2 linked regions of the Pelodiscus sinensis genome follow. The protein of the gene in region 1 binds, or shares a complex with, the protein of each later gene. Links are inferred from orthologs where the notes say so. Each region holds a gene or a part of one and is shown on either strand. Other genes may lie near its edges. The genes, in order: LMAN1 and MCFD2.

The links.
Region 2: the proteins of LMAN1 (region 1) and MCFD2 are in contact, whole or in part, in a cryo-EM structure (PDB 8JP5), measured with the Homo sapiens proteins. The link is inferred for Pelodiscus sinensis from reciprocal best matches to the Homo sapiens genes LMAN1 and MCFD2. Residues at the interface, in NP_005561.1 of Homo sapiens: His43, Arg44, Arg45, Phe46, Tyr48, Lys49, Ser51, Phe52, Lys53, Pro55, His56, Gln59, Ser60, Asp61, Val64, Pro65, Phe66, Trp67, Lys96, Phe265, Glu273, Lys279, Glu280, Ile281, Glu285, Lys286, Tyr289, Glu292, Phe293, Phe296; in NP_001164977.1 of Homo sapiens: Val59, Ile60, Asn61, Lys62, Gln70, Glu71, Leu74, His75, Phe77, Lys78, Tyr82, Asp83, Asn86, Asp89, Gly90, Leu91, Glu92, Thr95, Thr98, His99, Val100, Leu111, Glu114, Leu117, Ile118, Ile121, Asp122, Leu125, Asp129, Lys130.

The regions. Positions count from the first base shown.
Region 1 is NC_134716.1:109,309,599-109,322,161, reverse strand, and holds the start of LMAN1 (protein ERGIC-53), read right to left. Parts: upstream 4,657-12,563; 5' UTR 4,587-4,656; coding exon 4,355-4,586; intron 1-4,354. UniProt on the Homo sapiens protein: Mannose-specific lectin. May recognize sugar residues of glycoproteins, glycolipids, or glycosylphosphatidyl inositol anchors and may be involved in the sorting or recycling of proteins, lipids, or both.
Region 2 is NC_134713.1:163,908,123-163,920,169, reverse strand, and holds the start of MCFD2 (multiple coagulation factor deficiency protein 2), read right to left. Parts: upstream 5,264-12,047; 5' UTR 5,057-5,263; intron 4,442-5,056; exon of another isoform or gene 4,269-4,441; intron 2,868-4,268; exon of another isoform or gene 2,723-2,867; coding exon of another isoform or gene 2,720-2,722; intron 2,213-2,719; 5' UTR 2,145-2,212; intron 1,432-2,144; coding exon of another isoform or gene 1,426-1,431; coding exon 1,283-1,425; intron 655-1,282; coding exon 495-654; intron 1-494. UniProt on the Homo sapiens protein: The MCFD2-LMAN1 complex forms a specific cargo receptor for the ER-to-Golgi transport of selected proteins. Plays a role in the secretion of coagulation factors.

The sequences.
Region 1 (12,563 bases):
AGTTTCTAGCACTGGCTATTGTCAGAGACAAGACACCGGGGTAGATGGATCATTGGTCTGATCCACTATAGTCACTCTTCTGTAAAGTATCTGCCTTTAATTTCGTGTTTATGTATCAATGACGTAATAGTACAAAGAACACTTTTCTGATAACATTAAGCTGGAAAGGGCTTCATATCATATAGTAAATAAACTTGTTTGACAATGAAGTAATTTTACTTATAAAGCAATACTTTTATATTTAACCCATAATAAAGATATGGTTTTCATATTTTAACATGCACCTATATATTCATATAATACTTCCTAGTAAAAATATCTCTGAGCACTCTGAATATTAACAAGGCTTCTAAACATCCCCCTCAGACTCATGTTGTCCTAATTTTACAACTAACCTAAAGAGCATGTAAGGGACTTGTTCAAAGAAGAGGCCAAAGACTTGTTCCATAGAAGAGACAAAAAAACCCAAAACTCCAAATCCTGCTCTATAGTCAAAGAACTAAACATATACATGTGTTTGATATAGAAGACAAAATAGGAAATGGGAACATTATCAAGTGGTTATTGACACTTGGCTTTATTAACGGGCTTGGTACTGACCTTGAACAAGTCATGTCAAAATAATTAGCTGAGGAACCTGAACTAGTAGCTTGATTTTCAGCATACCTTTTAAGAGCCAAGCCACTTATTTAGATGACTAATTATAGATCAGTAGTTTTAGCCTTACCTCTGCCACAATTGTGAAGCAAGATTCTACTTGCCTAAAAGGTGCACTGTGAGGCTTAATTAAATAATAATACGTGGAAAGATAATCCATTAGCACCAAATTTCTGTTAGGCAATACATATGAGGAAAGCATATGTAAAGAGTAAGACAGCTGAAGTCACCAGCTACCCTTGTGAAATGGCATATGGAAATCCCAATTTGTTTATAGCCGTACTGACCAGACACCTAGTTAATAAGAAGAACATAAGAATGGCCATACTGGGTCAGACCAAAGGTCCATCTAGCCCAGTAGCCTGTCTGCCAACAGAGGCCAGCACCAAGTGCCCCGGAGGGGGTGGACTGAAGACAATGATCAAACGATTTGTCTCCTGCCATCCATCTCCAGCCTCTGACAAACAGAACCAAGGGACACCATTCCTACCCCCTGGCTAATAGCCTTTTATGGACCTAACCTCCATGAATTTATCTAGCTTCTCTTTAAACTCTGTTATAGTTCTAGACTTCACAGCCCCCTCTGGCAAGGAGTTCCACAGGTTGACTATGCGCTGTGTGAAGAAGTTTCGTTTATTAGTTTTAAACCTGCTACCCATTAATTTCATTTGGTGTCCTCTAGTCCTTAAATTATGGGAAATAATGAATAACTTTTCTTTATTCATCCTCTCCACACCACTCATGATTTTATATACCTCTGTCATATCCCCCCCTCAGTCTCCTCTTTTCCAAACTGAAAAGTCCCAGTCGCTTTAACCTCTCCTCATATGGGACCAGTTCCAAACCCCTAATCATTTTAGTTGCCCTTTTCTGAACCCTTTCCAAGGCCAAAATATCTTTTTTGAGGTGAGGAAACCACATCTGCACACAGTGCTCAAGATGTGGGCATACCAAAGTGTTATACAGGGGCAGTAAGATATTCTGGGTCTTATTTTCTATCCCTTTCTTAATCATTCCTAACATTCTATTTGCCTTTTTGACCGCCGCAGCACACTGTGTGGACGTTTTCAGAGAACTATCCATGATAACTCCAAGATCTCTTTCCTGATTTGTCGTAGCCAAATTAGCTCCCATCATACTATATGTATAGTTGGGGTTATTTTTTCCAATGTGCATTACTTTACACTTATCCACATTAAACTTAATTTGCTATTTTGTTGCCCAATCATTTAGTTTTGTGAGATCTTTTTGAAGTTCTTCACAGTCTGCTTCTGTCTTGACTATCTTGAACAGTTTAGTATCTTGAAAAGTTTCGTTCCAAGGATTTGACTATACTGCATCAGTCCCTCTCCTATTAAATTGTTTTACAAGACTTGATGTTCCACCCTGCCACAAATGGCACCATATTTACCAGAGCAACAGGGGAGGTGAGGTAATATCTTTTACTGAACCAACTTCTTCTGGTGAAAGACAGGCTTCTGAGCCTCCAAAGCTCTTCAGATCTGGGAAAGATATTTCAAGCACCATAATACAGTTATGAATTTAAGATCCTTCTAAATATGTTACATATGCAATTATCCTTTCCGCCGTACATTTAGCACCAATGCTGTGAGTACCTTTCCCAGATCCAAAGTAGGGATATCAATGTGTAGATGACTACACCATTAACTGGTAATCCTGGGTTTATCGGTTAATCCCGTCGACTACACGCATTCTCCCCCCCCACACACACTTGCTGCCTCAAGGGGGGGGGGGAGCTAGTGCCCACAGGGGAGCTGTCTCTCCACATGTGCTGGCTCCATGGACCTGTCTGACCCGCCTGTCCTGCCCCATCCCCCCTTGTTGCCTCCTTCAGAGGCAGCAGGGGGAGGGGGATAGGCAGGTGCCGCCGCCACTCCCCCCCCCCGCTTCCAGGGCTGCTGCCTATTTGAGAGTCAGCAGCCAGAGGGGGAAAGGGCAGGGCAGACTGCTGTGGAGCAGCCTCTGCCTGCGATGGGCCCGGGGCCCTCTATGGACAGAGGCTGCTCCCCAGCAGCAGCCTCTGTCCTTGGGGAGCTTGGACCCCCCTCCACAGCCAGGGCTTGCTACTGCAAAGCTGCCTTTGTTCACAGGGAGCTCAGGTGCCCCACGGGCAGGGGCTGCTGCTATCCCGCACTGCTGCCTCTGTATCAGAGGCGGCAGCAGCATGGGGAAGTAGGCCGGAGTCAGTGTGCATGGGGAGCTGATAGAGAGGTAACAGCACAGAGGTGGCAGGGAGCTCTCTGGGAGTGGGACCAGAGTGCACTGGCTGCAGACCCCATCCCTGGGGGATATCAAATGGTTGTGTCACCGCTAAAAATTGATGTGGTTACATGACTATTCAATTACATGCTATCGGACATCCCTAATCCAAAGAAGATCTCTGTATAGCTTGAAAGCGTCTCTCTCTCTCTCTCTCTACACAAGCTGGGCCAATAAGAAACACACCTTATCTTACCTGCCTTGTTTCACTAATAATCTGGGCCCAGTTGGGATACAGCATAAGAACGGCCATACTGAGTCAGACCAAAGGTCCATCTAGCCCAGTATCCTGTCTGCCAACAGTGGCCAATACCAGAGGCCCCACAGGGAGGGATCACAACAGGTAATCCACACATGATCCCTCCCCTGTCACCCACCTACAGAGAAACAGAGGCTAGGGACACGATTCCTACCCATCTGGTTAAATAGCCATTGATGGACCTAACCTTCATGAATCTATCTAGCTCTTTTTAGACCTGTGTTAAAGTTCTAACCTTTACCACATCCTCTGGCAAGGAGTTCCACAGGTTGATTCTGCACTGAGTGAAGAAAAACTTCCTTTTTGTTTTAAACCTGCTGCCTATTAATTTAATTTGGTGATCCCTAGTTCTTATATTGGGGGAAAAAGTACATAACTTTTCATCTGTTAGTCTATAAGGTGCCACAGGACTTCTAGTTGTTTATAACTTTTCCTTATTCACTTTTTCCATGCCAGTCATGCTTGCATAGACCTCTATCATATCCCCCTTTAGTCTCCTCTTTTCTAAGCTGAAAAGTCCAAGTCTTTTTAATCTCTCTTCGTATGGGACCCATTCCAAACCCCCTAATCATTTTTGTTGCCCTTTTCTGAACCTTTTCCAATGCCAACTACAATTACACAAGATACACATTGTAATGACATAGAGCTGAAGCTTCAGTGCAGTGATGAGAAAATATTTTTTAAACAGTCACGCCGCATTCTTCACCCGCTTTTACTGAGACTTCAAAACCCAGCTGTTCTACCAAACACAGCAAAGGGCAGCAGGGAGGGAGGGAGTGAGTGTATGGAAACATACCTCTTCCAGGGTCTGCACCGGTTGGCGGGAGCAGGGAGCCTTAGGCAGGGTGAATAAGCTCCATGTGTTTCCGTGGGGTATCCCCACACCCAGGGCCAGTAAGAATCATGTCCCCATAGAGCCTGGTGCCCCTGCACCTGGGCCGTGCCAAGGGGGACAGGTGTCTCCGAGGGCCACAGGGGACCAGTCACAGGGGGCTAGCCCAGGGAACTAGACCCCCCCGCAGCCGGAGGAGGTCGGCAGTGCGGAGGGCAGGGCCAAACGAGGCAGGCGCCCCCCCACCCGGCAGGAGCCGGCCCGGGGGCGGGCATGACACAGGTCACACCTGGCCCGGCGCGGGCGGCGGAGCGGCGCGTACTTACTGCCCGTGTGGACCCAGAAGGGCACGGAGCCGTCCCCCTGCACCAGGTGCGGCCCCTTGAAGCTGTACTTGTACTCGAAGCGGCGGTGCGGCTGCGCGCCGGCCGTGACCGCTCCCGCGGCCCCCAGGCTGCTGGCCTCGGCGGGGGAGAGCAAGCGGCAGCCCAGGCAAAACAGCGCAGCCCACAGCACGTTCCCCGCGGCCAGGCAGCCCCGCTCCATGGAGACCGCCATCTTGGGCTTTGCCACGGGGAGCCAAGCACGGCCAACAGGGCGCTGCCTGATTGGCTGCGAGGAGAAGGGGGCGGAGACCGCCGCCCGGCCAAAGGGCGCGCAGCGCGTGGCTACATGTCAGCGCGGCTCGGGGGCGGGGCCTCTCTGTCCTTGTCCCCGCCCCCTAGTTGCCCGCCCTCGGCTCCTGTCTCACTCACTCACTCATTCACGTTGCCTCCCCCCCCCCGCCCTCTGGGATGTCTCGTGCCCTCCGTGTTCCCCTGCGACCGCTCCTGCGGGGGCGGACCTGGACATGGGGAGCAGGCTGAACGGGGAGGTGGGCAGCAGGAGGAGCAGGAGGGGGCGGGGCAATTGCACCATGATGGGGTGCGCATCCAGGAGGCCCTCAAAGACATAGAATCATAGAATCATAGGACTGGAAGGGACCTCGAGAGGTCATCGAGTCCAGCCCCCCGCCCTCAAGGCAGGACCAAGCTCCGTCTACACCATCCCTGACAGATGTCTATCTAACCTGTTCTTAAATATCTCCAGAGAGGGAGATTCCACCACCCCCCTTGGCAATTTATTCCAATATTTGACCACCCTGACAGTTAGGAATTTTTTCCTAATGTCCAATCTAAACCTCCCCTGCTGCACTTTAAGCCCATTACTCCTTGTCCTGTCCTCAGAAACCAAGAGGAACAAATTTTCGCCTTCCTCCTTGTGACACCCTTTTAGATATTTGAAAACCGCTATCATGTCCCCCCTTAATCTTCTTTTTTCCAAACTAAACAAGCCCAGTTCATGAAGCCTGGCTTCATAGGTCATGTTCTCTAGACCTTTAATCATTCTTGTCGCTCTTCTCTGTACATGTTCTCACAGGCCCCGTTGTAGGGTCGCCTCGGTTTCCCTGGACAACTCCCTCTCTTCCCCTTCTCCCTCCCCTCCCCTTACCTCCCAATACACAATGTTTGGATTCACCCAAAAAACTTGTCGGTTTTTATTTACAAAGGGGGGAGAGAGAGTGGGGACCTTGAACTGGGAGGGGGAAAGGAGCTACTCCTGGGAGGGGTGGCCCCTGCGACCGCTCCTGCGGGGGAGGACCTGGACATGGGGGCAAGCCGCATTGGGGCAGGCTGAACGGGGAGGTGGGCAGGACGGGCAGGGTTAGGAGCAGGAGTGTCCATTGGAGGAGGGGCAGGGACAGGAGGAGGAGGGGCCATTGCAGGAGGAGCAGGAGGGGTCGGGGGCAGTGCTAGGGGAGGGATGGCGGGGGCATGAGGCAAGGCCATGCCATAATGAATGGCATGCGCTATGTGTGTGGAGAGGCTGGCAACAGAGTTTGCCATCAGCGCACAGTGTTCCTGGAAGGTGGCCCAGGCCTCCTGGCGCCACTGCAGGTCCGCCTCTGTGCGCCTGTGGATGGCAGCCTCTATGCGCTCGACGGCCTGCACATGGCACCGCAGGAGCTGGTCCCGGTGTTGGACGCGCTGCCTCCGTGGTTGGGCGGCTGAGGGTGCTGCTGCTGCCAGACTGGAGGGTCCCCCGCTCCTGGTTGGTCCCGCTGCAGGGAAGAGAAGAAAGGACGGGTCAGTCAGGCAGCCCAGCCACTGTCCCCACACCCCATGCCTTCCACCCCACCCCTGAGCCCAGGTGACACCACAGGGTAGTGTGGCTTGGGCCCCATCGGTTCCTCCCCTGCCTCCACCGTATTGTATGTTTGCATAGAGGACTGCCCCTGGAGTAGAGTCCTCCTCCATGTATTGGAACCCCCAGTCTGTGTCATAGGGGGTTGTGATGCTGCGGTTTTTCCAGGAGCAGCTGCCGGAGGGGGCCTGCTGAGTGGCACTGCTGGCTTCGTCCTCCGGCGCACTGCTGCTGCTGTCTCCCTCCCCCGTCGTGGTGGTCCTGGTGATCGGGGGGCGCACACAGGTGTCGGCTGTGACATCCGGGGCTTGTGGAGCTGGCTGTCCCAGGATGGTGTGGATGGTCATAGTGGGGGCAGGTGTCTGGTCCTGCTCCCCGGCCCTCGCTGGCCTGCACATAGCCCAGGCGAAGTTCTTTGACTTTAGCCTGGACCTGTTCCAGGTTCCAGGCTGGATGGCCCTGCTGGGCTAGCGCCTGGACTATGCGGCCAAAGATGTCGGCGTTGCGGCGCCGGGACCGGGTGTCGTGGAGGCTCTCTTCCTCCTCCCACAGGTCCAGGAGGGTCTCCAGCTCCTCCAAGGACCACGATGGGGCTCTTCTTTTGCAGCCCCTGGGGGCCTCCTTCTCTGGGGGTGCGGGTGGCTGAGTGCCCGGAGCTGCCATGCTGGGCTGTGAGGTGGCTGCTGGGCACGGCAGGGGCAATGCTGGCAAGCCTCAGGCCAGAGGTCTGAGGCAAGCAGCCTGCGGCTACTTTAAGAGCTCAGGTTACCAGGAAGTCCTGGGCGTCTACGGGGTCTCGCAGCGTCCAAACAGCTTTTTTCCGTTTAGCCTGCTTTTGCGCAAACGTCTTAGCTAGCTGTCTACACTTGCCCTTTTGCACAACAGTTTTTCGCAAAAAGGACATTTGCCCGAACGGGGAGCGTCAAAGCTTTTCCGGAAGAAGCACTGATTTCGGACAGTAGATTGTCAGTGCTTTTGCAGAAAATCAAGCGACCAGTGTAGAGAGCTGGCAAGTTTTTCCGGAAAAGCGGCTGATTTTCCGGAAAAAGTGGCCAGTCTAGACACAGCCGGAGAGGAGCAGGGCTCCGCAAAGGAAGGTGGAGGGATCCTGGAAAAGGGCGGACTCAAATGGGGGGCTATGAGGAGAGGGAAACGATGGAGGGGAGGGCCTGTTGGGGTAGATGAGCTGTCCAGCCTCACACAGTGTTCAGCAAAGTGGAGGGGCAGGGGTGTTGCCTGCTCAGTTGCATCACAAACACCCCCTGAAAAAGTCTCTCAAGGTTTCATTAAAGATCCAGAAAAGAAGGAAACAATATCACAGGCTTTGGAAAGCATCCAAACAGTAAATACGGCTTTTGTTTTAATGGCTCCCCGTGGGCCCTTTTCCTTTAGCTATAGAGGCAGGAACCCACCCACCCCTGCCTTTCACAGTCTTTTAGGCTGCATTTTAAAGATGGTAATATGTCCTTTTTGGGGGGAAAGGGAAAGAGTTAGTTGAGATGGGGGAGGGTGTTAGAGACAACCTGAAAGCCATAAGAAACACATACAAATGGAAAGAACAGCAAAGATAAAAAATGCACCTTCCATCTCCAGTGTTAACTCCATTGGCGGATGCCCTGACTCAAAGTGGTTTCTATTATATCCAGTGTTTACAGTTTGGTTCAATGGCTCTCAGCAACCCTACTTATAGACATTGTACCAGCATCCCTGGTTGCCAGCATAGAGTTGCCAGCTTTCTAACTGCAGACAGCCAAGCATCCGTAGGTCCTGCCCCCTCCCTCCATCCTTCCTCCAGCTGTCCTTCACTCTCTCCCATCCTCACTCATTTTGACCAGGCTCGATTCCGGGTGAGGTTCTGATGATGGGGAGGTAGACTCAGGGTGAGTTCTGGAGTAGGGCCAAGGATGAAGAGTTTGGAGGAGGGGGCTCCAGGCTGAGGAGTGGGGCCAATGGGTTTAGAATGTGGGAGGAGGCTCCAGACTGGGGCAGTGGGTTGAGCTGTGGAAGAGGATGAAAGTTGCAATTGGGGTTGCAGACTGTGCGGTGGGGCAGGGGGTAAGCGGTTTGGAGTGCAGGGCGGAGGGGGGTGAGCTCTGGGCAAAAAAGTAATTTAGTTAAAAATATATTTGAGAGAGTGAATTTGTCTGTTCATTCATTTGTCAAGAACTCCTCTTAAACGGTAAGAGGTAGGACCGCCAAATTTGGTATGCAGCTTCCACATTGCTGGCTGTTCCCTTTCGTCTGAAAGTGCACAGTTTGCTCCATTCCTTAATCTGGCTGGGGAGCACAGGGGGCAGATGAATGTGGACCTGCCCCAGCTGAGGGACAAGCATCTCTCCCCTGGATGTTCCTGCTGGAACTGCAGAGGCCATTGAGAGGTGGTTATCACCTGGCCCCAGCCTGCTGCAGTGAGAGAAGGCTGAGGTAGTCCTCTCTCCCAAGAAAAGCCTGCATTCAGAACCCCTCATCCCCAGCTCCATCCCAGAGCAATTATTTAAATGAAGAAAAACAAAAATTAGTTGAGTTAAGGACCCAAGCAACCCCAAGTAAATCTAGTAAAATCCTTTGTTATTGTAAAATCTTTGTAAACATTTTTAAAGTTGGTGAAAGTACATATACATATCTACTGTAATGGAGTTCACACAATGTAAATTAGTGTTCCCTTTTTTCTAAAATAAGTGAACAATGTTATGAACACACTAAACCTCTGTGACTGATTGTGAGGGTCTCGGGGTGCGATCACCCCCTCCCAGTCCGAGAGGGGGGGTCTGCGGACCCCTTCTGGTCCTCCTTTTGTCCTGTGTCGTCCCTGGGCCGCCGGTGTGGAGTCCGGGCCCCTGGGGTGCGATCACCCCCTCCCAGCCAGAAGGGGGGGTCAGCGAACCCCAGGCCGTGAGTACCCGCCGAGCGGGATGGGGGGGCCGGAGCCCCTAGCCTTAGGTCCTCCTCCCCCAGTCCGGGGTTCTAGTTTGGTCCCAGTCGGTTAGTGTGGCTGTCGGGTGCTGGACGCTCCCCGTGTGGAGGGAGGGGGACCCGGTCCCGCCCTCTCTCCGGGTCCCAGCCCGGGGCCCTGAGCGCCGGGGCCGCTAGCGCCCCGGCACGGTGGACGAGGGGGGTGGGGATTCTCCCCCCTGTGGCCCGTCCACCCACGGCCGCCACAAGCGCCCTGCCCCGGGCTCCTTCCTCCCTCCTGTTGGGTCTGCCGTCCGATCCCCGTCGCCCTGGCGCCTACCTTGACTCGGCGGTCTGTGGTGTCTCGTGTTCCGATGGCGTCCCAGGGGTGAGCTCTCCAGCCCTGGCACGCTCCTGGCCGTCCCGGTCTCTCCTGACTCGGCGCGGTGGGGTCCTCCTGCCGTCTGGCGAGGGGCTGAGTGCTCGCCAGGGGCAGTGGCTGTCCCGGAGGCCCCGGGACCAGCGCCGGGCCGGCAGCCGGGCTGTGTGGCGCTCACGCTCCGTCCTGCGGTGGGGGCTGCTCCTCCGCCGCCGCGAGGAGCCTGCGCCCCGCTTCTCCGGCGGCGGGCACTTTTAAACTGGCCCGCCGCGCCGGCCGCCGCCCGGGGCCCCGCCCCTTCCGGGCCCGCCCCCGCTGGCGGCCCTCGCCAGTTGCCGTGCGCCCCGGCCCCGCCTTCCCTGCGTGGGCCGGCGGGGGGGGGGGCCGCCCATCGGCTGCCGGCGCAAGCGCGGGGGAAGCGCCCCCGCCTGCCGCCCCCGGCGGCTAGAGTTGTGGGGTTGCTGGGGGGTCTGCGGCCGGCCGGCAGAGCCCCGCCGGTGAGGACTCCGCTCGCCCCGCCCCCGGGAGAGTGACGGCCGGCGGGGGCTCCGCTCCCCTCGCCCCTGGTCCGGGGCCGGCCCGTCACACACCCCCCCCCTTACCGAGGGGTCTCCCTCATCCCCCACGGGCTCGAACGCCCGCGAAAAGAAGTCAGCGTTTTGGTGTTTTTTTCCCGCTCGGTATTCTACGTCGAAGCGGTAGGGTTGTAATGCCATATACCAGCGCGTTAGGCGCGGGTTCGAGTTTTTCATGGAATTTAACCACACAAGCGGGGCATGATCCGTGATTAGTTTGAATTTATTGCCCCATAGATAATACCTTAGGGTCTCAATGGCCCATTTCACCGCCAACGCCTCTTTCTCGATTGTGGCGTAGTTCCTCTCCCGCGGTAGGAGTTTCCGGCTCAGGTAAAGGATCGGGTGTTCCTCTCCGTCATGGTCCTGGGCCAGTACTGCTCCTAAACCGCATTCGGATGCATCTGTGTATAAAGAGAATGGTCTTTCAAAGTCAGGCTGCCTCAACACTGGGGCTTGGACTAACCTGCGCTTTAGTTCGCGGAAGGCCTGGTCGGCTTGTGCCGTCCACTGGATCTTGTTGGGGTGCGCGTCCTTGGTTAGTTCAGTCAGAGGGGCTGCGATCGTGGCAAAGTCCGGCACAAATCGGCGATAATATCCCGCCAATCCCAGAAACCCTCGTACCTGCCTCTTCGTTGATGGTGGCGGGTAGTTCCGAAGGGCTTCCACCTTTCCCAACAGTGGTTTCAGTTGCCCTCCTCCCACGGTGTAACCGAGGTAGGACACCTCCCGTTGGGCGAAGTGGCACTTTCGGGGATTCGCTGTGAGGCCTGCCTCCTGCAGCGCTTGCATCACGGTTTCCAGATGCTGGAGGTGCTCTGGCCACGTCACGCTGTATACGGCGATGTCATCGATGTAAGCTGCTGCGTACCCCTTCATGGGCTCCAGTACCTGGTCCATGACCTGCTGGAAGGTCGCTGCTGCTCCGTGGAGTCCGAACGGCATCCGGCGAAACTGAAACAGCCCGAAGGGGGTGGCGAACGCGGTCTTCTTCCTATCCTGGGGTTCCAAGGGAATCTGCCAGTAGCCTTTCGATAGGTCTAGGGTGGTGATGTACTTAGCCCTCCCCAGGCCCTCCAGCAGCTCCTCCACCCGTGGCATGGGGTAAGCATCGAATTGCGAAATCCCATTAACCTTTCGAAAGTCAATGCAGAACCGCACGCTCCCGTCTCGCTTGGGGACCAAGACTATGGGGCTGCGCCACTCGCTCTGCGATTCTTCTACCACCCCCCATTGTTTCATGGTCTGCACCTCCTGCCGGACGGTGTCCCATACCTTTCGGGGGAGGGGTCTATGAGCCTCACGCACTACCTGTCCTGGTTCGGTATTGATACGGTGCACCCCTACCTTCGCTGTCCCCGGGGTCGCCGTCAGAACGTGGCGGAACCGGCGCAGGAGTTCTTCCATTTGCGTCCGTTGGTCCACCGTCAGCTCTGGCCCTATGGACGGGGTCTCTTCCTCCGCGTGGTCGGCTGGGGAGGGGCCGAGGTCTTTGTCGCGGTCCGCGGGCGCCACTAGGAGTCCTTCCCGGGCCACCCACTTTTTGAGCAGATTCACGTGGTAGATCTGCGTGGCCCTTCGTCTCCCGGTCAGCCGCACCTCATAATTCACGTCTCCTACCTTCCGGACGACCTCGTAGGGGCCCTGCCACGCCGCGAGGAGTTTGGACTCCTGGGTGGGCAGGAGCAACAACACTCGGTCGCCGGGCTCGAACTGGCGGTTCGCGGCCGTGCGGTTGTAGTAGTGGGCCTGTCGTGTCTGGGCCCTCAAGAGATTCCACTTTGCATAGGCGCCGAGACGCCGTAACTTCTCTCGGAGCTGCAAAATATACTGTACCGTGCCCTGGCACCGGGCCGACTGAGCCTCCCAGTCCTCCCTTAGGATGTCCAGGATCCCCCGGGGCTGCCGCCCATATAGTAGCTCGAATGGGGAAAATTCCGTGGAGGCTTGGGGTACCTCGCGGATGGCGAACATGAGGGCGGGCAACATCTGGTCCCAGTCCCTCGGGCTGTCCTGCACCACCCGCCGGAGCATGTCCTTTAAGGTGCGGTTGAATCGCTCTACTAGTCCGTCAGTCTGGGGGTGGTATACTGACGTCCGCAGGGTTTTAATGCGGAGGAGTGTGCACAGCTCCTTTATCAGCTGGGAAGTCACGTTTGTCCCCTGGTCCGTGAGAATAGCCTGCGGGAACCCCACCCTCGCAAAAATTTTAAGCAGTTCTGTCGCCAACGTGGGGGCCTTGACGTTGCGGAGCGGGACGGCCTCCGGGTACCGGGTGGCGTAGTCGACCACCACGAGGATGAACCGATGCCCCGCCCGGGAGGGCTCCAGTGGCCCTACTAGGTCCAGGGCCACCCGCTCGAAGGGGGTGCCCACTACCGGGAGGGGTACCAGGGGGGCCACCGGGACGGCGCCCGTTGCGACCTTCTGGCAGCTGGGGCACGAGGCGCAGAAGTCCCGTACCGCCCGGTAAACCCCTGGCCAATAGAATCGGCGGAGGACCCG
Region 2 (12,047 bases), on another chromosome or scaffold:
GTTTAAGGACAGCCATCAGCTGGCAACTCAGGAGACTGCTGCAACTGCAAATGTGAAACATTTTATTAAACTAAATCTTAAATTGTATATCAGTGTGTGTGTGCATGATTTAATTATTGCCATTCCTAATGTACTGCTACTGCATCTGTAGCAGATACAGCATGGTGAACTATTTCTTAAATTAATAAAAAAGTCAAATCAAAATATAAGTACACCCTCTTAGCTGTTGTAAAATGCTATAGTGTCCAGCAGTGATCAGATCTGCACCACTGTTTAAGAAATGTAAGTACTATTAGAGGGAAATTTGATTTAAATCAATATTTTTGGAGATTAAAAAAAAAAAATCTACCCTGGTTAAATTTATATTTTTATAAAAACAAAAACTCACATTAAAAATTAATTTGACTGTACAGAAAATGCATATTCTAATTGGAATTACTTATGAGAACGTATTGTTTTGAAGAGCCACTGGGGCAATTATAAATACTGCTCACCTCTTTATGTACATGTGATATAGCAGTGGCAAGTTCTAACCCATCAAGCAAATTATTGCCATCATAATCGTGCATTTTGAAGTAATGGAGCTGTAACTCCTGTGGGGACATCTCAGATTCTGGTTTGTCAATTACACCTTCTAAGTGTTCCATGATGTGGCTGAAAATACAAAATAAAGTCAGCAGTTAACATATAAAAGCCTATTTATATATTTAACAGTTCTTTGCTCAAGGAACTAATCTACAACAGTTTGGATGAGATTCTATGTTGAGTCTGTTAGAGAAGTGGCATCAAAAACTGGCATCAAAAACTTTTCCTCTCCCCCTCTTCCCAATCTACATATATATGGTGTTTTTAAGCCACCATTGTGTCCTGATCATGGTATGCTAGGATCTAAAGAGATCTGCCATAATTTAGACAGTGTTGGGGGCCTGTCTAAATTAGCCTTGGGAGGCAATTGTATCTCCTTATGAGAGTCTTCCACAGAATCAATGCTGGATGAAGCCTTCCCCACCAGCAGCTTTAGGGCCTATTTATATGATGTGGCTCTTCTAACCACTGTAGAGAGAAGACAAGAATCTTACAGTGTAAGTGTTCATGATGCATATTCCCCCCCCCCCCCCCCCAATGTTTTTGTGGCCAATATACACAAGGAAAAACAGTGTATAAAGATAATTTTGACTGAGTTTTTCTATGCCATGTAGGGAGGGCAACCCTGATATATTGAAGTCCAACTTCAAAATGAATCACTGAGCAATACAAGTTTTACAGAATACAAAGAACATACTCTTTGTCTTGTACTAGGCTCTTATCAAGACGAATATTTGCTTGATGAGTCTCCTCTGTGTGACCCTCAGCTACAGAGGAAATTAAGAATGCAGACACTAGGCAGAATAGCAAATATGTGCTCAACATCCTTGTGGCCATCATGATCTCCTAGCAAGTGAAAAATACATATATTAATACATATGATAAATACATTCAATGAAATGCAATGTTTTCAATGTAATAAGCACAGTGGAAATATGAAGTCTCCATTAAATTGTAGGATGCAAAAATTTTCAGATTCCCAACTTGAAAATGTAGTATGTGCTGTGCAGCTGCTAATCTTTCTGGAGAACAAATCCACAATAAATTACTTGACTCTGTAAATATTGTCTAGTCCAGGGCTACTCAACACATGGCCAACGGGCCGCATGAGGCCCGTGGTGCGGTTTGGGTTTACGCAGGGCTGAACACGCAGCCCATGGGCAGGATTCTTTGAACATGGCCTCCACAGGGAACATGCTCCACAACAGTGAGGTGTCTCCCAGATGGGGTGAGCACTTAAAGGCGCAAGCAGATGGCTGGCTGGAACAGAGGCATAGAGGGTATTGGTGCTTCTAGCCCCCTGGGAGAAGCTGCCAGGAGTGCTGGGATAGCACTTTGTATTCATGCCCATCAATGTGAAAGAAGCTATTTGCATGTATATGCAACCATACTTAAGTTGTGGCCCTTAGAATGTGCTGAGAGTATCATTGTGGCCTCCCAGAGCTTCCAAAGTTGAGTAGCCCTGTTTTAGTCAAATAGTCATAGCAACTTCACTTAGATGCATTTTACAGTATTTTCCTTAAAAAAAAAAAAAAATAATAATAATTAAACTTACAGACCTTCCTAGTCCAACTAGGTAGCCTCCCTTAGATGTAAATGAAAGTGGGGCATGACATCATAAGCACTACTGGAAATATTTAAAAAACAAAACAGCAGTGGAAATGCTCAGATACCAGTTTAATGCAGAACATTCTTTCTTTATAGAAGTCCTAGTTTTAATGATAGAATTGTGATAGTCGAAGCTAAGTTTCATTAAGCTACGTTGATGAATCTTCTTAATCAACAGTGCATTATAAAATTGTTCAGAGTTTATATATTATTGCAGTCTTTGTTTCAATTATTTTGTGGCTCTGTCCAATGACAAAGTGGCTATTTTGAACGTGTAGTGCCACTACCCAAACAAGGCTTATGTTTCTGATATTTTGCGACAAAACATAAGTAATCAGTGTATAAAAATGGTACACTATTTAGACTCTTGGCATTCAATGTTCCTCTCTCATGAAAAGGGTATAAATCACTAAAGTCATAACTAATGGAAGTTAACATAGGTGAAAATAGAGCACAAATGCATTCTATCACATAATCCTAATTAACACAGAATAGTGTTAAGTCAAGTTATAAAAATGAACACTACCATGAAACAATACTGATCTCCTTTTGCAGAAGTTTCCCTGAAGAGTTAATGCCTAATAACAAATCAGGTCTAAAACAGAAATGTTTGCTATTCCACTTGTTTGTCAGAAGATTTAACACCACTTGAAATGTGATAGTAGCAGGTCACCCTGTAAATCCAGAAATACAAATACTAGTGTCAGCTTTCACAACTCTATGGACTATTGCCAGGAGGCTATACAGAGTTTGCATAACTTATGAAAATATTAGGTTTATTAGCTACGCATTTTAAATGGATCAAATATTTTCCACAACTACCTTCCGAACTACCTTCTTTGTCTTTGATAACAGGAAAAAAAAGAAAGCAGGGGAAAAAGAAACTTTTCCTACCAGGACACTAAAATAGTCACTGTACTTGCTCAGTGAAAGTTGAACTGAACCCATTTATTTTAGAACAAATCCCACAAGCCTGAAGACTGCAATTTACTAACTACTTTGGTGCAATTCCTTAAATGGCATGGTACTCATTTACAAAGCAAGACACCACTCCAGTAGTGCCACAGGTACAACAGTATTCTGAAAGAATATTAATACATGATATAGCACAGCAGCAAATCAGTTAGTGAATTTTGTTTGGACTGAAAAAGTTACAGATTGGAAAGGCAACATGGTCAGTACTTTGTCTATATAAGAGAGTTGCACTGGTTTATTTTAAAGCTGTTTTTAACTAAGGCTGTGTCTATATTGGCGCGATCTCACGCAAAAGCGGCTGCTCTTGCGCAAAAACTTGCTGCCTGTCTACACTGGTCGCGAGTTCTTGCGCAAGTACACTGACATTCTAATGTATTAAATCAGTGCTTCTTGTGCAAGAACTCTGATGCTCCTGCTCGGGGATAAGCCCTCTTGCGCAACTGTTCTTGCGCAAGAGGCCAGTGTAGACAGGCAACAAATTTCTTGCACAAGAAAGCCCTATGGTTAAAATGGCCATCAGAGCTTTCTTGCACAAGAGAGCATCTACACTGGCATGGATGCTCTTGCGCAAACGCACATACCAGTGTAGATGCTCTCTTCTGGAAGAGTTTTTGCACAAGAACCCTTCTGCAAAAGAGTTCTTGTGCAAGATCATGCCAGTGTAGACATAGCCTAAGAAATTAAGGCTATAACTACCCCAGCACTTTGCCCATAACACATGTCACTCAGGAGTGGGGGAAAAAAAACCACCAACTGCTCCCTCTCCCTGCCCTGACATAAGTTATACCAACAGAATTGATAGTGCAGACAGCTGTCAGCAGGAGATGCTCGCCCCCCCCTTTCCCCATGAGCAGTGGTAGCTATATACTCATATACCCAATATGGATTTGCACCAGTGTAAGGTGTAACAACTTAAATTCACACCTTCTCTTGTATACTGGTGCAATTTATAGTGATGCAAATTATTACTTAGGATATGAGTGACTGATTTCTGTCACTCAGGAACAGCTTAACCGAAATAAATCATTTTATACTGAAATAAGAGTGCCCATAAAGCCTTTCAGAATGGTCTAACTATATAGGCTTTAAAAAAAACCCACCTTAGACAAGATGTAAGATCCAGGAATTCCTGAATTCTACTGTTCTCTGACACTAATTCACTACATGCTAGGAGCAATTTTCAAACCCTCTCTGCAATAATTTCCCCTGTTGTCAATTAGGGATAAGAGAAGGCCACGTTTTCTGCAGACATAACTCCCCTGATTTGAAATTCACTTCCACCAGCAGAGAATTTTAAGAAGAGTCCTGAACATCAGCTCCTGATAATCTGCAAGGTAGATGCCCAGTTACAACAGTTTAGTTTAAAACGTACTTGACATCCAGCCCTTCACTGGGATGAGCTGAAGGTTTGTAAAACAATAACAAGCACCACAGCCTCCCCACCCAGCCGCTGTGCAACTGACGAGCGATTAGCAGGGAAAGAGACTGGAAGGCAGGAGAGCGGTGACTGCAGGGTCATTAGGTTCAGTTAATTGCCTGCGCCCGCTGCCCGTTTCCATCTACGTGTTACTGCAGCCCTGCTCGGCTACCGGACACCCCTCAAACAGCCCCCACGCCAGGGCCCTGAGCCCCCACCTACCGGCCCCGCTGCCGCGCGCCTCACGCGACCGGGTCTCCCCGCGATTACGCCGGCTCTGCCAAGGAGCCGGACTGGCTCTGCGTGACAGCGCCCGGTGTGGCGGGGCGCGCGGGACCGTAGCCCCCGCCGCCGGCCGCAAACCCATCGCAGCCGAGCTCAGCGCGGCCGGGGCGCGTCTCCGAGCGCGGGGGAGGTGCCGACTCGCCCCGCCCGCGACGCTCCGCAATGTGAGGCGCGGCCCGAACTCACCGGCTGCGTAGCCGACAACGTCCCGGGGCACAGCACCGGGGCACAGGCAGGTGCGCAAGGGAGTAGACCCAGCCGGCCACCGTCCCCAGGCGCATCTTTGACCCGACGCACGCTCGCGTCCTGCCACGCCCCCTCCCGCTCATTGGCTTTCGCCAGCCAGAGCTGGGAGAACGTCAAGGCTCCTGGACATTCCACGTGTAACGAAAATGAAGGGACAGGTGGGGGTGGGGGCGGGAGTGTGTCAGGTGACCAGCATGAAACGCTCCTTCCATGTGCCCCGCCTCCTCCGTGACTCCTGCCCCCATCGGCCTCTGCCTCTCGCTGCACCGCCCCCGGCAATGCGTCGGTGGTCAAGTGGGCGGGGCTTGGAGCTCACCCAGGAGGGGAGTCCTGTAAGAGCCTCCTCTCCCATGGTTTCCAAATAGACCTGCCCTGAGCCTGTTCCAGGCCTCTCCTTGGCCCCTCCCCCCACAAAATGCATCCCAGGCAGCAAGGTCCACAGCTGAGGTGTGGGGGCGTGGCTCTGCGTCCCGGAAGGGGCGGGGCCTCGGACGGAAGGGGCGGGGCGGAGACAGTCAGGCCTAGCGCTGCCTGGAGCGCGACACGCCCGGCCACTTGAAAGGGGCCCGGGACAGGAGCAGCGTCCGGCTCGCTCAGCTGCTGCGCCAGCGCCCACGAGTCGGGCGGGGGCTTCCCTGCGCGTGGCCCTGGTTGAACAAGTGCCTTGGTCGAGGCCGCTGTCCCGGTTCTGTAGCGCGGCGGGTGGAGGGGGGGGAGCACTAGGTTTGGGGGCAATTTTCAACTCTCGTGCGGAATTTTTCTCCCTCACACTTTGTGTGTGTTTGCACGTGGGGGAGGGGGCTTGTTTATGTCATTGGTTCTAGAAACGCCTCCTCCTCCGCATGGCAGCTCAGGAGTGTGTTTAGCAAGCACTTTGGTTTGCTTCTGTTCTGACCCCAATGTTATTTGCTTTCTTATACCAGTATTTTAATAGTGATAGAAATGTAGCCCTGTTAGTCTGGTGTAGCTGAAACAAAATACAGGACTATGTAGCACTTTAAAGACTAACAAGATGGTTTAGTAGGCGATGAGCTTTTGTGGGAGTGGGTCTGGCCCAGGAAAGCTCATCACTTAATAACCATCTTGTTAGTCTTTAAAGTGCTACATAGTCCTGTTTTTTGTTTCAGTATCTTAATAGCCTTTCTATGCCCCTGTGTTTACATTGTACCAGTCCACTCCCTGTCTCTTCTAGGAATGTTGCCTATCTCAAGAAATCTGTACAGTCATTTTGCTTTTGTAAACATTCATCACATTGTTATTAGGCCAGCTTTATTGACTAGTGCTCATTAATGAGCCAGATATAGTAATGAGGAAAAATCAGATCTAACATATAGCTTTCAAGGCTGCCCTGTCTCAAGAGTATTAGTGCTCTCTCTGGGGCAGACTGTTAGGAAAAGGGTCCAACCTCCACTTTAATTTGGAATGCTGATACTTAGATTTTGTTTCACCACTTATCAAGTGTAAATTCCTCAGGCACTATAATAGTCCTAACATGCAGTCAGTCTGTGGTGTACTCAGATTAGTCTTGCCACCCAAATAAGCATGCCTTAGTGATAGATGGTCCCTTACCAAAGATCACAGCAATATTTAGCCATTCATCTGAAGAAGTGGGTTGTGCTATCAAAAGCTCATGTTACCATCTACCTGTTTTAGTAGTATCTAAGGTGCTGCAATACTATTAATCTGTAACTGGAAAAACTTAAAAAAACCAACAAACTCAGCTACCCCCTGGGGTAATATTTAGGTTTCTCCACAGCCCAAAGGATCAATCACTTATCCACTGGCAGATGTACTTTAGTTCTCATACCAAAATGCTTACATCCAGTCCTATTATATGCTATGTAGAGATCAGGGCTGTACCTTGGAGGATGTGAGGCCTAACCCTAACCCTAACCCCCCATTTGCCCCTTCATATTTTGGGACAGGAAAGAGTAAACATAGTTTTTTGTCCTCTTTAATGTTCCACGCTATTCCATCTGTTGTTGATGGGCCTTTCTTGTTGGCCAGAATATAACATCTTCTGTGGGATATCAGCACTTCATACTAGTTAATGTCACTTTTCTGGCTGGTGATCTAAGGGGTTACCAAACAAATGCTGAAATATTACTTTATACCTTATAGTGAATATTACTTTATACCTTATAGTGCAGCAACTTACAAGCATCACATAAAGTCAAAACACATTCTTAGAATTCTAATTCCTGTTTTACTAATACTAACACACAGCTGAGTCAAACTCATTCCAGCTATGTATAAATCATTCAGTGGAGACATGGGGACCTTCATGAGAGCTGGGATATGAGTGTCAGAGAACGAAGGCAAAGGAAGGCATTGCCTACCCAAACAGACATGGTGGCCTTGCCTACACTCTGCCTTATGTCAGGCTTCTTCCTGTGTACAGCAGGCTGCTCTAGGCCCAGCACTGAGGCTGGTGGCCACCCGGTGCTCCAAGACCAGGAAAGCTGGGGCTATGGAATCACCCAACTCGGGAGGGGGGTAGAGACTGCTCTGCCTGGCAACCTGCCACTCTGGGATGTGGAACATGCTAGACTTGGGCAGGAGCCAGGAAGGAACCAGCCAGCAGACACAATGGTGGGTGGGAGCTGCGCAGGGCCATCCCAAGAGGAACATGGGGCCTGGAGCAACCCCTCCTCCCAGTGCCCTAGGCATGGTGCCCAGCTCAACCCTTCTGCAGATCCCACCCCTTCACTGCCCATGCTGTGGTTCTTCCCACTGCTACTCTGCTCCCTGCTGAGCCAGGAGATTACTGGGGACTCGGATCAGGGGTTGCTCTCTCTCTCCCCCCCAACTCTCACCACCGTGGTGGGAGCTGGAGCAGCCAGCCTGCTCTGCTCTACTCCTCCATGCTGCTCTTCCAGCCCGCTGCACCTCACTTCTCTGTGGCAGTGGGAAGTGGAGCATCCTGGGACCTGGGCACTCTGCTTCCTGCTGCCATGGTGAAGCTGAGCACAGCAGGCTGGGAGAGGGCAGTGGCGCAGAGCAAGTTGTTGGGTTGTTCTGGCTCCTGCCATCCTGGTGAGTGCGGGGAGGGGGAATTCCTGTTGCCATCCTGTGCAAAGCCTGTACATAGGACAGTTGAGGTAGTTGCTGTGGGGGGCCCTAAAGCTGAACAGCTATGTGGTTGGGGAACAGGGGCCAAGAGTTACAATGGGGGCTGGATTGGGCTCAGTGGGCACAGAAAGGGTAAAGCCTTGGCCAGAAGGGGTAGGGCTGCCATTCATTCACCATCTATGAGCTGGCACCTGGTCTACCAGCATTGCAATAGCACTATCACTGACTTTTGATGAACTTGCTCTTGACAGAAATGTTACTTAATTTTCAGAACTGGGAGTGACAGTGTAAAGCTGGGTGATCAGTAAAACCCTATAGAGATGGATGAACTCTTAAGTGGATCAGAGATTTGAAACAGATGTTCATTCAAACATTTAGCTCTGTTGGACTTGCTATCGTAATTTTTTGTAAACCAATTAAATGCTCAATGCAACTTTCTATGTGTCTGAAAATATCTTTGTTAGTACATAGGTAGGAATGTGAGAAGGCCTTAAAAGAAAGTACATTTCATCTTGTGTGCCTGGAAACATTCCACACCAAAAGAATTTTCTTCTTTGCCCAGCAAAACTGAGACTGTTCTGGGTTCAAAAATTTTAACCACAACTTAAAAAAACAGTATGTTACTTTACTTTTTGTGGCTAAATTATTTAATGGTTCTTATGTTTCCATTTTTCAGTACAGGCAGTCTCCGGGTTACATGGATCCGACTTACATCGGATCCCTACTTACAAACAGGGTGAGGCAACCCCTCACTAACTGCTTCCCGCCAGCAGACCAGGGAGACGCGAAGCTAGTGTCCCCCCCCCCCCCCCCCTCCCAGCAGACCAGGGAGACGTGGAGCAGCTTTTTCTCAGCAGACACCTCAGCTTGAGAATAAAGGACTGAGGGAAGTGAGGTGTGGGAGAATAAAACTGAGCTCTGGAGAAACGTTTGGCTAGAGTTTCCCCTACAATATGTACCAGTTCCAACTTACATACAAATTCAACTTAAGAACAAACCTACAGTCCCTATCTTGTACGTAACCCAGGGACTGCCTGTACTAGATACGTTACGGGTGCTTCCTGTTTTCACTTTAATACCTACTTCCGGATTGAAATAGATCTCAATATTTTAAGATGTTTTAGTCCAGAACACACACATTACTGGGAGAACAGAAAGTACTCATTATACTGAAGTAATCAATAGATAGTATTTTTTAAAAAATACAGTTTTGCCATAAGTTTCCCAGAATCAGAGAGGAGATTTTAAACTGCTAAAAAACTGGCAGTGCAGTGGGGCTAAGGCAGGCTCCCTGCTTGCCTTGGCACCATGCTGCTCCCAGAGGTGGCTGGCACATTCTTGCAGCCCCTAGCACTTGTGGTAGCTTTGCTAATTCTCTGCCAGGAAAACTGTGGTGGGAGGTAGGGGGTCATTTTAAGTGCTTTTATTTGTGATAAGTATGCTCTCTACTTGGAATGGAAAGTGATGGAATTGTGATAGGAACGAGAGAGAGAGATACATACACTCTCTCTGTCTCTCATAGGGTACATCTACACTTGCTCCCTATCTCGAGATAGGGATGCAAATGTAGTGTACTGATATTGATTTAAATATCCTGTGCTTAATTAACATAATTGCGTCCAGCTGCCATTTTGAAATCGTTACTACACGGGGCGTTTCATTTTGCAATAATGCGATTTCAAAATGGACGCAATTATGCTAATTAAGCACGGGATATTTAAATACTGTGCTTCATCAGCAATTTCAGTACACTACATTTGCATCTCTATCTCGAGATAGGGAGCAAGTGTAGACATACCCATACAGACTTACCTGACATTCTCCAGGTCCTTCATGGCATGGGACTGGTGGTGTGTGGGACTCAGGGCAGCACTTTGGGGATGGGTGGGTAGGTGGTGGGTAGGAGGCCAGGGCAGGGGCAGTGTGAGAGTGAGGGTTGGAATGAGGAGGGGTTCAGGGCATGGGGGCCCATCTGGCATGAGCCTTCCCCCGCGCCCAGCACCCTTCCACCCACCAGGGGCCTTTTCTCTTCCCCAACCCCCTCTGACCACCAGGGAAACAGCCACCAGCTGCCCCCCACCTCCTGCCCTTGCTTCTGCACCCTTTGCCCCTCTGCCCTTTGCCCCTCCTCACCCCCCCAACCATGATTCTTCCCTCCATCTCATTCCCAGCTCCCTGCCCTAGTGTGTGTGTTCGTGTGTGGTTTTGCATGTGTGGGCGAGCGCACGTGCATACATATTTCTTTTTAAGTACTGCAGAGCACTCAAAAGCTTTGTTCTGGCACTGTTTACTTACCTAGCAGGAATGGAATTTAAGCACTTAGGTCAGGGCTACTCAATTTTGGAAGCCCCAGGAGCCACAGTGATACTCACAGCACATGCCAAGGGCCACAATTTAAGTGTGGTTGCATATTGAAGGAACAGAATCTGGACACTGTATGTGAAGCAAGCAAGGGAGTTTGTTACACACACAGCACTGTCAGAGTGTCACATCGCTTGTGAGAACTCAGTGAACACTGCCAAACAATAGATTATAAATAATTATATAGGATGCTCAGTGGGCAGATCAAAGTGATGGGGCGGGGGAGGAGGGGGGAAGAAAGGGGCAGAAGATCCTGGACCCCTGGATAGGTGCTAATTGTGAAGCAAAATAAGAGTAATAATATAAAGTTACATAGGCTGCTTCTAGACTGGCATGAAAAAACGTTTCCGTTAAAAGTATTTGCGCAAAATCATGCCAGTCTAGATGCAGCCATTGTGTTTCCAGTAAAACAAATATTTAAACAAAGCAGACATCAATTATCAACTATGTGTTAAGTGGTGATATGTCTGTCAGCTTCAAGAGGTGTGTCTGCACGGATGAGGTCCACCTGGGGATTAAAGCAGAGACATTATGAGTACTTGACAATGGCACATTTGTTCCTAGCATCATTGAATGTGGCTTCTCCTGTCTCCCATCCTGGGCTAGGTGTGTGTGTGGGAGGGGGGCGGGTAACCATCATGCACTGTGTTTGTGTGCCAGTCCCAGACTCCAAATTTACAATAGGGATTCTTAACAGAATATCATAAACTGCCTCAGAAATTTTCATCCTACACATATACATGCAAATATATATACATGCAAATACATGCAAATAGCTTATTTCACCCTGATGGGCATGAATACAAAGATTAAGCCTTAAGCTGCGGTGCTGGACCCAAATGTGGCCAGTGTGAGCCAATCAGCACCTCTCAGGTCTCTGCCCACAAGCCTAAGCAGCCAGCACTTCCCACAATGCCCTGGCACTCCTGGCACCTCCTCCCTGTGGGCTAGAAATGCCAACACCCGGTACCCATCTGTTTCAGCCAGCCTGTCCGCTTGTGTCTTTCAGTGCTCACCCCACCTAGGAGATGCCTCGCCGTTGTGGAGTGTGTTCCGATGGAGGCCATGTTCAAAGGATCCCACACATGGGCCACGGGCTGCATGTTGAGTAGTCCTGACTTAGGTGAATGAAGAACTGAAACATTTTTCATAGTTTCATTTATGTTACGCTGAGCTGCACAATCAATGAAATGGCAAACATGAAAGTAAGCTGATGGACCTGATTGCAGCACACTGGTTAGAGAGTAGCCAGCTGGAGTGGGCAGGTCTGTAGATGATGCTGGTCACTATATATGGGTAAGGTTCCCATGCTGGTGCAGAGCATGGGTGACCTACTCCTCCCCTGCTGGCAACGCTCCTCTACAGGACCACCCCCCTGTGGTTCCTGGCTCCAGTGTCAGACAGTTGGGGGCAGAGGAGCAAAGCCCCAGCGCTGGTGGACCTGAGTCAGCACCCACAGTTCCTGAGTGGGACAGCCACAGCACCTCCAGGCTTCAGC